Linked DNA regions of Mus musculus. The protein of the gene in region 1 purifies or fractionates together with the protein of each later gene. This does not show direct contact. Links are inferred from orthologs where the notes say so. Each region holds a gene or a part of one and is shown on either strand. Other genes may lie near its edges.

Region 1 (5,043 bases):
GGTGGGACCACATTGGCTTCTGGTTGTAAGTGAAACCTATGCTTCCTCTTTCAAGTGTTGCCAGCCATTCCGCTATAGATTAAAAACGTTGGCTTTCTTTAGAATACGTGTGTAGCCCGTAAGATTCCCATTCATGTTTGCTAGCAGCATCTGGCAGATCGGAGGGAAGTTTCTGCTCTAAGTGCTACCTGGATATAAAGAGGAACAAGCCAGTTTCTCAAGGGATTCGTTTTGTAAGAGGAAAGGAAGATAACATTGGAGAATGAGTAATTTTTTTTTTTTTTAGAAGACAGAAAGTCTGTGGGAACAGGTAAAAATCTTTCCAGAAGTCTGGATTTAGGTTTCATGGAAGCACGTAAGTTAGGTACTGAAGGGTCAGGTTGTTTGTTGGTTGGGTTTTTTTTTCTGGGTTTTTTTTGGGGGGGGATTATTTAAGGGCATACATACACATACAAATACACACACACATACCCATACACACGTGCACGCACGCACACACACGTGCATGTATACATGTGCTCTGGTATGCTCATGGCAGTCAGAAGACAACTAACCCGAGCTAGCTCACTCTAATGGTTTGAAATAAAAAGCATGCAACCTTGCATAGAGATAAGAATGTGCAGTGAGTGCTGGGGCTGACAGGTTGGGTATGGTTTTATCTGAAGCTGGTGACTGGTGGGGCTGGAAAGGGTGTGGGCTTTGTCGTGTGGGTGGTGGGGAATCACTGGAGACAGCAGGCTATTGGGCATCCTAGTTGGAAGCTCAGGAAAAAAAGGCTTGCCTGGAGTGCAGAGCCTTATCTTCCCTAAAATAGGCGTGATGGCGGGATGTACTGCCTAGCATTCCAAACAGAGGGAAATGATGAGTCTTGTGCACCAATCTATCTCGTCAAAGCATTGAATGTTAAGGATGGTCATACGATTGGGGTAGGCTTGGGGAGGGCGTTTTGCTTGCTTCTTAGACTAGAGAGTCCACCCTACATTTTAGAAATCTTCTAGATTTAGTGTGTCTCCAGGTATTATTGTGTTTAGTTTTTCTTCCCATGTCAATCACTGCCTAGTAAATACATCTATTTGTGGTATTTCAGTTTTTCGAAAGTCTAAGAAAAGGCGACTTCTCTAATGATATATTCGACAACAAAGAAGTAAGTCCTTGAAAGCTATCAGGTTGATTTTTTTTTCCACTATTTTCTTTCCCAATACTGACTCTTACCTATCATTAACAGAAAAGCCTTCTAAAAAAACTACTCTCAGAGAAACCCAAGGACCGACCTGAGACATCTGAAATCCTGAAGACCTTGGCTGAATGGAGGAACATCTCAGAGAAAAAGAAAAGAAACACATGTTAGGGCCTTTCTGAGAAAACATTCCTCTGCCGTGGTTTTCCTTTAACGATCTGCAGTCTGAGGGGAGTATCAGTGAATATTATCCTTCTTTTCTTAATACCACTCTCCCAGACAGGTTTTGGTTAGGGTGACCCACAGACATTGTATTTATTAGGCTATGAAAAAGTATGCCCATTTCCTCAATTGTTAATTGCTGGGCCTGTGGCTGGCTAGCTAGCCAAATATGTAAATGCTTGTTTCTCGTCTGCCCAAAGAGAAAGGCAGGCTCCTGTGTGGGAAGTCACAGAGCCCCCAAAGCCAACTGGATGAGGAAGGACTCTGGCTTTTGGCATAAAAAAGAGCTGGTAGTCAGAGCTGGGGCAGAAGGTCCTGCAGACAGACAGACAGACAGACAGACAGACAGACAGACAGACAGAGACACAAAGACATGGACTAGAATGGAGGAGGGAGGGAGGAAGGGAGGGAGGGAGAGAGAGAGAGAGAAAGAAAGAGAGAGAGACCACATGGAGAGACAAAATGGCTTAAGTTAGCTGGGCTACCTGAGAGACTGTCCCAGAAAACAGGCCAACAACCTTCCTTATGCTATATAGATGTCTCAGTGTCTTTATCATTAAACACCAAGCAGGACTGCTAAAAACTCTGCAATAGGGTTTTTTTTTTCCTGTTACTTCAAAAGCAATCTTACAAAGTTATTTTTTTGACAATTCCATACATGCATTGTGTTCTGATCCCACTCTGAACCCTCTGCCATTCATGCCTTGTCTGTCATGTGAACTGTTGCCTCTGAATGTGGGGGTCCAAATTAACCCTCTGCCCTTGAGTGGCTTCTCTCAGGTAGTGATTGTGATGAGAAAAGTAATGAGATGCTGGCAAAGATGTGCAGAAAGAAGAACACTTCTCCACTGCTGGTAGGATTGCAAGCTGGTACAACCACCCTGGAAATCAGACTGGAGGTTCCTCAGAAACACAGTACTACCTGAGGACCCAACAATACCACTACTGGTCATATACCCAGAAGATGGTCCAACATGTAATATGGACACATGCGCCACTATGTTCATAGTAGCCTTATTTATAATAGCCAGGAGCTGGAAAGAACCCAGATGTCCCTCAGCAGAGGAATGGATACAGAAAATGTGGCACATTTACACAATGGAGTACTACTCAGCTATTAAAAATGAATTCATGAAATTCTTAGACAAATGGATGGATCTGGAGGATATCATCTTGAGTGAGGTAACCCAATCGCAAAAGAACACACATGATATGCACTCACTGATAAGTGGATATTAGCCCAAAAGCTCCAAATAACCAAGATACAATTCACAGACTACATGAAGCTCAAGAAGAAGGAAGACCAAAGTGTGGGTGCTTTGGTCCCTCTTAGAAGGGGAACAAAGTACTCACAGGAGCAAATATGGAGATAGAGTGTAGAGCAGAGACTGAAGGAAAGGCCATCCAGAGACTGTCCCATATACAGAGACTGGGAATTCATCCCATACACAGTTACCAAACCCAGACACTATTGTGGATGCCAAGACATTCATGCTGACAGGAGCCTGATATGGCTGTCTCCTGAGAGGTCCTGCCAGAGCCTTACAATACAGAGACTGATGCTCACAGCCAACCACTGGACTGAGTGTGGGGTCCCCAATAGAGGAGTTAGAGAAAGGACTGAAGGAGTTGAAGGGGTTTGCAACCCCATAAGAACAACAATATCAACCAAGCAGACCCCCCAGAGCTCCCAGTGACTAAGCCATCAACCAAGGAGTACACATGGCTCCAGCTGCATATGTAGCAGAGGATGGCCTTGTCATGTATCAAAAGGAGGAGAGGTCCTTGGTCCTATGAAGGTGCGATAGATGCCCCAGTATAGGGGAATCAAGGGCAGATAGGTGGGTTGGAGGAACACCCTCATAGAAGCAGGGGGAGTAAGGAAGGATATGGGGATTTCTGGGAGGGGTGGAAACTAGGAAAGGGGGTAACATTTGAAATGTAAATAAAGAAAATATCCAATTAAAAAAAAAAGAAAAAGAAAAAAGAAAAGAATAGTAATAAAATGGTACAGGAAGTAGAGTTATATTGCAATAAACCTACTGTTGGGCTTTCAGGACTGGTTTGTGGGAGGAATGTGAAAAAGTTTGAAGCCCCAGGTTAGAGAAGTCCTCAAATGGTATACGTCAAACTTACTGTGGTAGCTCAAAAGTCTCCTGAGAGGCCCTGCTTGGAGTTAGCCTTGTAGAGGTCCAGTCTTTCCTTGTTGTTCTTTCAGACTTGCTTTGTAGAATATTGGTAGTTACTTTGTGCCTTTGTATGCTGTAATAGTTGTTTTATAGGGCCTCACAGCTAAGAGTTTCTCGCTGCTTCTCAAAGCACTTTGGACCTTTGCATGGAGTTGAGTATTAAGATTATGGGAATTTCTGAGGTGGGACTGAAAGCATTTTGCATTATGAGATGGCCATGAGCCAACAGAGACTTGGACACACTCCTCCACTGTCAACCGAGGCTTCTGCCAAATCTTCCCTGTCATGAAGGATTGTATCATCTGAAATTGAGTCTAAATAGATAAATAAATAAGTAAATAAATCTCTCCTCTCTTAAGTTGCATCTGTTGGGCTTTTAGTGACAAGAAAAGTAGCTAACATACTGTTTACAGAAGTCATGTCAACAAGAAGCACCCATAATGCCTTCAAAGGGAGAATGAATTTGAAATGCTATTTACTTATTGGAGAATGAACTGAAGCTAGATGTAGTAACAGTATATTAACAGCATGTTAAGAGAAAAATATTTTTTAAATGTTTATGGAAGGAAACCATTCACAAGTTGATAGAACATTCCAGAGCATACAAAACAAAATCATTTTTAAAGATCCCCTCCCCGATTTTTGGAATCTCAGTAAGTAGGACAAGCTTTTACGCAAGGGGTTTGCCATCAGAACGCAGGTGTTGGGAAAGCCACCGCTAATTTAAAGCAAAAATGGGGAAGGAAAAGACTCACATCAACATCGTCTCCGGCAAGTCCACCACAACCGGCCACCTGATCTACAAATGTGATGGAATCGACAAGCGAACAATCGAAAAGTTTGAGAAGGAGGCTGCTGAGATGGGAAAGGGCTCCTTCAAGTACGCCTGGGTCTTAGACAAACTGAAAGCTGAGCGTGAGTGTGGTATCACTATTGACATCTATCTCCCTGTGGAAATTCGAGACCAGCGAATACTACGTGACCATCATTGATGCCCCAGGACACAGAGACTTCATCAAAAACATGACTACAGGCACATCCCAGGCTGACTGTGCTGTCCCGATTGTTGCTGCTGGTGTTGGTGAATTTGAAGCTGGTATCTCCAAGAATGGGCAGACCCACGAGCATGCTCTTCTGGCTTACACCCTGGGTGTGAAACAGCTGATTGTTGGTGTCAACAAAATGGATTCTACCGAGCCACCATACAGTCAGAAGAGATGTGAGGAGATCGTTAAGGAAGTCAGCACCTGCATTAAGAAAATTGGCTACAACCCTGACCCAGTAGCATTTGTGCCAATTTCTGGTTTGGAATGGTGACAACATGCTGGAGCCAAGTGCTAATATGCCTTGGTTCAAGGGATGGAAAGTCACCTGCAAAGATGGCAGTGCCAGTGGCACCACTCTGCTGGAAGCTTTGGATTGTATCCTACCACCAACTTGTCCAACTGACAAGCC
Region 2 (5,281 bases), on another chromosome or scaffold:
CAAATGAGGACAATAAATGCCTTCTCTGACACAACGCAGTACACTTACTTTATCTTAGAGTTGCTGTAAGAATTACAGAGAAGCCAGCCCCAGTTCCTAAGTGTGCTGTGCCTTTCAGAGTGTGGGCATTCTGCACAACATGGTGAGAAAGTCGGTGGGCAAGGCTCCTTAACGTATTAGATAGGAAACCTTGAGCAAGTCACCTTATCTCTCGGGAAGTCACTCATAGCTTGCTCATGTTGTGAGGTAAAACTTCAGTACCCAGGAAATGGTCAGTAACTACGAGATTGCTCTCCAGACTGCTGGTTCCTGTTACAGTGGCCAGTGGTTTAAAGGGGCCTTGCGTGCCCCTTTCAGAAATCACCTCCTGTTTGCCCTTATGGTTTAGATCCACAGGGGCACGGTCATTTCACCTTTCTGCTTCAGTTAGATGACTGAGTAGCTAAGGTGAGATCACAGCACCCACCACCAGCTAGGAATCGCCAAGCCCAAACCATCTGCAGTGTGAAGGCAGAAAAATGTTGAAGAGACACCTTGTTCAGCGGACATTCTTTTGAAATACACTTTCTAGCATAACTATAGTAACAAGTAGAACACACTGACGTGTTTTTTCTAAGAGCCTTGGGTATCTACTGTGTGCTAGACACAGCAGGGTACAAGGGTAGGAAACAATGAGTCAAGTTATCCACGTCCAGCATTGCACTTAAGCTCACATAAAAGGCTCCTCAGCTGTAATGCTGTCCGTCAGGTGACAAAGGCTGTAATAGTAGTCTGATACACTCTGGGAACACAGGTGAGGAACAACCTTAACTCTTCCTGGATAAGCACAGCACAGGCCTTGGTAATTGTGTACCAATGTTTTTAAGGTAAAAGTCACTGAATGGCTGATAGCAGACCTAATTAATGCCAGGCAGGAATAAGGAGGAACATTCTAGAGAGTAGGAATAACCCAAGAAAATTGAGGAAGTGACAGAATAAAATGGGAAATTATGCATGGAGCCTGACGTGAAATAGCTGGAGAAGACTCTGTAAAGGTATGTTTCAGTTATGTTGTGGGTAACATGTGAAGGTGGTCTTAAATGTCCACCAGCCAATGGGCAGTGGGGAACCATTGGAGGTTTTCTGGATGGGCACTGGCATGATCAGACCTGTGTTCTCTCTCCCAACCAGAAGAGCAGCAGAAGCAAAGACAAGAACCACTGCTGCCCCATCTGTAACATGACCTTTTCCTCCCCTGCTGTGGCACAGTCGCACTACCTGGGGAAGACCCACGCAAAGAGCCTAAAGCTGAAGCAGCAGTCCACTAAGGGGGCAGGTACTGCGCTTCCTGAGTAGTGCTTGGGGACCCCCTCCCATTCTCAGGGCACCATTGCCAGCAGTCTACTAAGGGGGCAGGTACTGCGCTTCCTGAGTAGTGCTTGGGGCCCTCCCATCCTCAGGGCACCATTGCCAGGTGCTTCCAGAATGCTCACTGGAGCCTCGGAATGCAGACTGGGACTCAGTTTTCAGGCTTTTGAGAGTTCTGAAATATCCAAGTATGAGTTGGAGATATAAGTCAGTTGGTGGAGTACTTCCCTAGTGTGCACAGAGAATACTTCCCTAGCTTTCATCCCCAGCCTTGCATAAGCCAGATGTGGTGCACACTTTCAGTCTCAGCACTCACACCATGGAGGCAGCTACCATATGGAGTTTGAGCAACCTGGGTTATGTGAGAGCCTGTCTAAAATACATACATACCATAATAGACCCTGCTTTACTGAGATTGGGCCTCAGATGTGGTTCACTTTACTTCCTTTTGTGTGATTCTATCAGATGTTATATAGAAGCTTCTTAGCCTATAATTACTGTCCTGAGCAGTAATTGTAACTCAGGAGGGCCAAGGGCCTGCTGCATACTGTGAGCATTCTGCTGCCTGCCTCCCTCTACTTATTCTGTCCCACCACCCACCTGTTCTTACTGCTAAGAGTTGCCAGTTGATAGCTAAATCATCCTCACAGACTCAGGTTATGCCCTGCTCACTTTGACCTGCAAAGGCTGCCTGTTCTAAATGCAGGCTTGCCTTCAAAGCAGGCTACTCTAGCAAGCTGTTTGCAGCTGCTGTGAATCCACTCCCCAGCACTGACTTCACATTCAGCCTTCTTTGTTCTCTCGTCGTTGGTACAGCCGTCACTTTCATCCTGTTAACCCTGAATCCTGAGGTTTTTAACCTAGGCTAACTGCAGTTAGTCATGAGTGGGAGGCCACTGGTGTGCATGCATGTGTGTGTGTGTGTGTGTGTGTGTGTGTGTGTGTGTGTGTGTGTGTGTGTTCGTGTGTGTATTATTCTCCAGTTTGGACCAAGACCACGCTAGTAATAGAACTTTTGATCCTTTTGTTTTATTTCATCACTGAAGCAAGACAACAGTGTCTTAGAAGGTTTTGGAGATATGATGGAAAAGTCTACTCATAGTTATACCCAAACGTAGTTATTCATGGTCTGAAACAGTAGAATATAGATTGAGTCAGAGCAGCACAGACTTAAGTCAGGCGCTTTTCTTTACCATTTGTGTCTGTACCCTCTGCACCTGTAAAGTGTCAGTGCCACCTGCTTTGGAGCTTGTGAAGATCATTACGGCTGCCCTGGTACACATCGCCATTCCCAGCATGGGAAAGAGGAGGCAGGAAGGTCAGGAGTTCAGTGCCACTTTGGCTGCCAGCTTTGAGACCAGCCTGGCCTATATGACACCCAAAAAGATAAGAGGCAAACACCCCTCACTCAAAAAATGCCTAGGGTACAGCAGATAGTCACTGAACAGCTGTCATCACTGTTGTTACCATTAAAAAGCCAGTGCATGGAGCCTCTTGTAAAATGCAGTCATTAATCAGGAAGCCACCCTTGCAACCTTCCTAATGCTGCGGCCCTTTACCGCAGTTAATGTATTAAACAGGCCCTCGAGTTGTAGTGACCGCAGCTATGAAATTAGTTCCGTTCATAACTGTAATTTGGCTACTGTTATGAATGATAATGTGAATATCTGTGTTTTCCGATGCACTTAGATGACCCTTGTGAAAGGGGCATTCAGTCCCAAAGGGGTCATGACCCACAAATTGAGAACCCCTGATCTAGAGCCTGCCATAGACCTTGATCATGGTTGACCTGTTGACTATGGTGAGTATTGATTGATTTTTGTCTACGCTGAGAACCTGTAAACAGCACATGACATGTGAGCATTAGGCCAAGGAAAATGATCTTAGCTGAGTTTCTAATGCCACAGACTTACCTTCCCATGGTGGGAAAATTTGGTGGAATATGACTTCTCCTAATACTTCTGTTCTAAACAGTAACTTATCTTCCATATTCACGTCCAGCCATTGCCACATGTAACTTTGTGTTGCAATTAGTGCATCAACCATGTGTATTCTGCTATCACTTTTCATTTAGCCTCATAGTTTAAAGATACATCCATATTGTTCATGGGTTTACTATAACTCCAATCCTGAAACTGAGCATTTGTGTGCTATGCAAGTGAGACAAACATGCTGTAGAAAATACAGAGAAAGTGCCAGGAATTCCCATAACTTTGCCATTGCAGACTAGGTGATGTTAACCTAGAGTCCTGGGTTCTTACAGCCGTGTGCACCACGTGTGTTTGTGTACCTGCTTGTATTATGTTTGTTTGTTTTCTGTTCATCCAAGTTGACTCCATATAGAATATATAATTTCTGTTTCTGTAAAAACTATGCACATATGTGAATAATTCCAATTCAACATGCAAAACATTCAAAGAAGCAGACAATATTCCACCCAAGTCTTACTTCTAGGGAGAGCATTGTCAGCAGTGGCTCCTGCTTATAGGCATCCTGGCTACAAGCAAGTTCAAGACCAACCATATGTTACACGACATACTGTCATGCATACGTGTACATATGCGTGAAGTGTATATATGTATGTATAGGTGATATTTTTAAATGCTAGTATACTTATATAGGTTATACAAAAACCTTTTAATACTGATATGACTATATTATTATAATATATTAAACCTTCTTATATATTTCTTCATTTAATATAACATTTCCTCATGTTGGGGCTAGAGAAATGGCTCAGCAGTTAGAAATGTGTTCTATTCTTGCAGAGGTCCCAAGTTCAGTTCCCAGCACCAGTGTGGGGCAACTCATAACCCTGGTAACTACAGCTCTAGAGCAGTCCATCACTCTGGCTTCCAGGGCACTGCTCCACATGTGCACGTATCCATACAGGCACAAAGGTCAGAGACAATCTTTGATAGCACACTTTGTGTATCTCAAGTATTTCTTAAGAGAACGCTCTAGCTCTCGCTGGCCCTGGGTGTCTGTTAACAGCTGCTCTGGCTTACAGCTCACTGCGTTCCTCCCCTCCAATGCGGTCTTTCCTTAAACAATAGTATTTATTTTTTATGTATATGGATGTTTTGTCTGCTTGTATGTCACTATGTATGTGCACTGCCCACAGAGGACACCAAATCTCTAGGACTGAGTGAAGTTGCAGGTGGTTGTGAAGCCACCATATTGGTGCTAGGAATTGAACCCAAGTCCTTTGGAAGATCAGTCAGTGCTACTAAGCACTGAGCCATCTCTTCAGCCTCACCCTCTAGAATGTTTTAAAGAACAACCTTGGGCCCACAAGATGACTCAGTAAATCACAGTGTTTGCCACACAACCCTGGGGGCCTGCGTCTGACTCTCTGAACCCATGTTGAGGGGTGAGGAGAGAACTGGATCACAAAGTTGTCCTCTAACTTCCACACATGTACTCTGGCATGCACACTATGTGCACACACCTATGACTGCACAAACACACACACACACGTTCAATAATAATAATAGGTTAAAAATGTTTTAAAGTGGGGACTGGAGAGACAGCTCAATGGTTAAAAACACTGGCTCCTGGTTCAATTCCCAGCACCCACTTGTGTAACTCTAGCCCCAAGGTATCTGATGCCTTCTTCTGGCCTCTGTGGGCACTAATATACATTCAGGTAGACATACACATAATAAATAGATGAATAAAATTTTCAAAATAATCTAAAAAGAGTAAAAAAAAACAAAACAAACAAAAAGCCAGGCAGTGGTGGCATACACCTTGAATTCTAGCACTCATGGTCTAGAGTTCAAGGCCAGCTTGGCCTATAGAGTAAGTTCCAGAATAGCCAGAGCTACACAGAGAAACCCTGTCTCAAATAAATAAATAGATAAGTAAAGAATTTGAAGGGGCAGGACGCGAGCAAACAGCTCAGCAGGTAAAGGTGCCTGCTGACAACCTG

Evidence for each region. Proteins that work in one complex are often made in the same cells at the same time.
Region 2: the proteins of Eif2ak2 (region 1) and Zfp346 purify together in Homo sapiens (affinity purification with mass spectrometry; 3 studies listed by BioGRID and IntAct, with this or other methods). This does not show direct contact. The link is inferred for Mus musculus from reciprocal best matches to the Homo sapiens genes EIF2AK2 and ZNF346.

The regions. Positions count from the first base shown.
Region 1 is NC_000083.6:78,851,444-78,856,486, reverse strand, and holds the end of Eif2ak2 (interferon-induced, double-stranded RNA-activated protein kinase), read left to right. Parts: intron 1-1,087; coding exon 1,088-1,144; intron 1,145-1,225; coding exon 1,226-1,348; 3' UTR 1,349-3,937; downstream 3,938-5,043.
Region 2 is NC_000079.6:55,114,310-55,119,590, forward strand, and holds part of Zfp346 (zinc finger protein 346), read left to right. Parts: intron 1-1,170; coding exon 1,171-1,315; intron 1,316-5,281.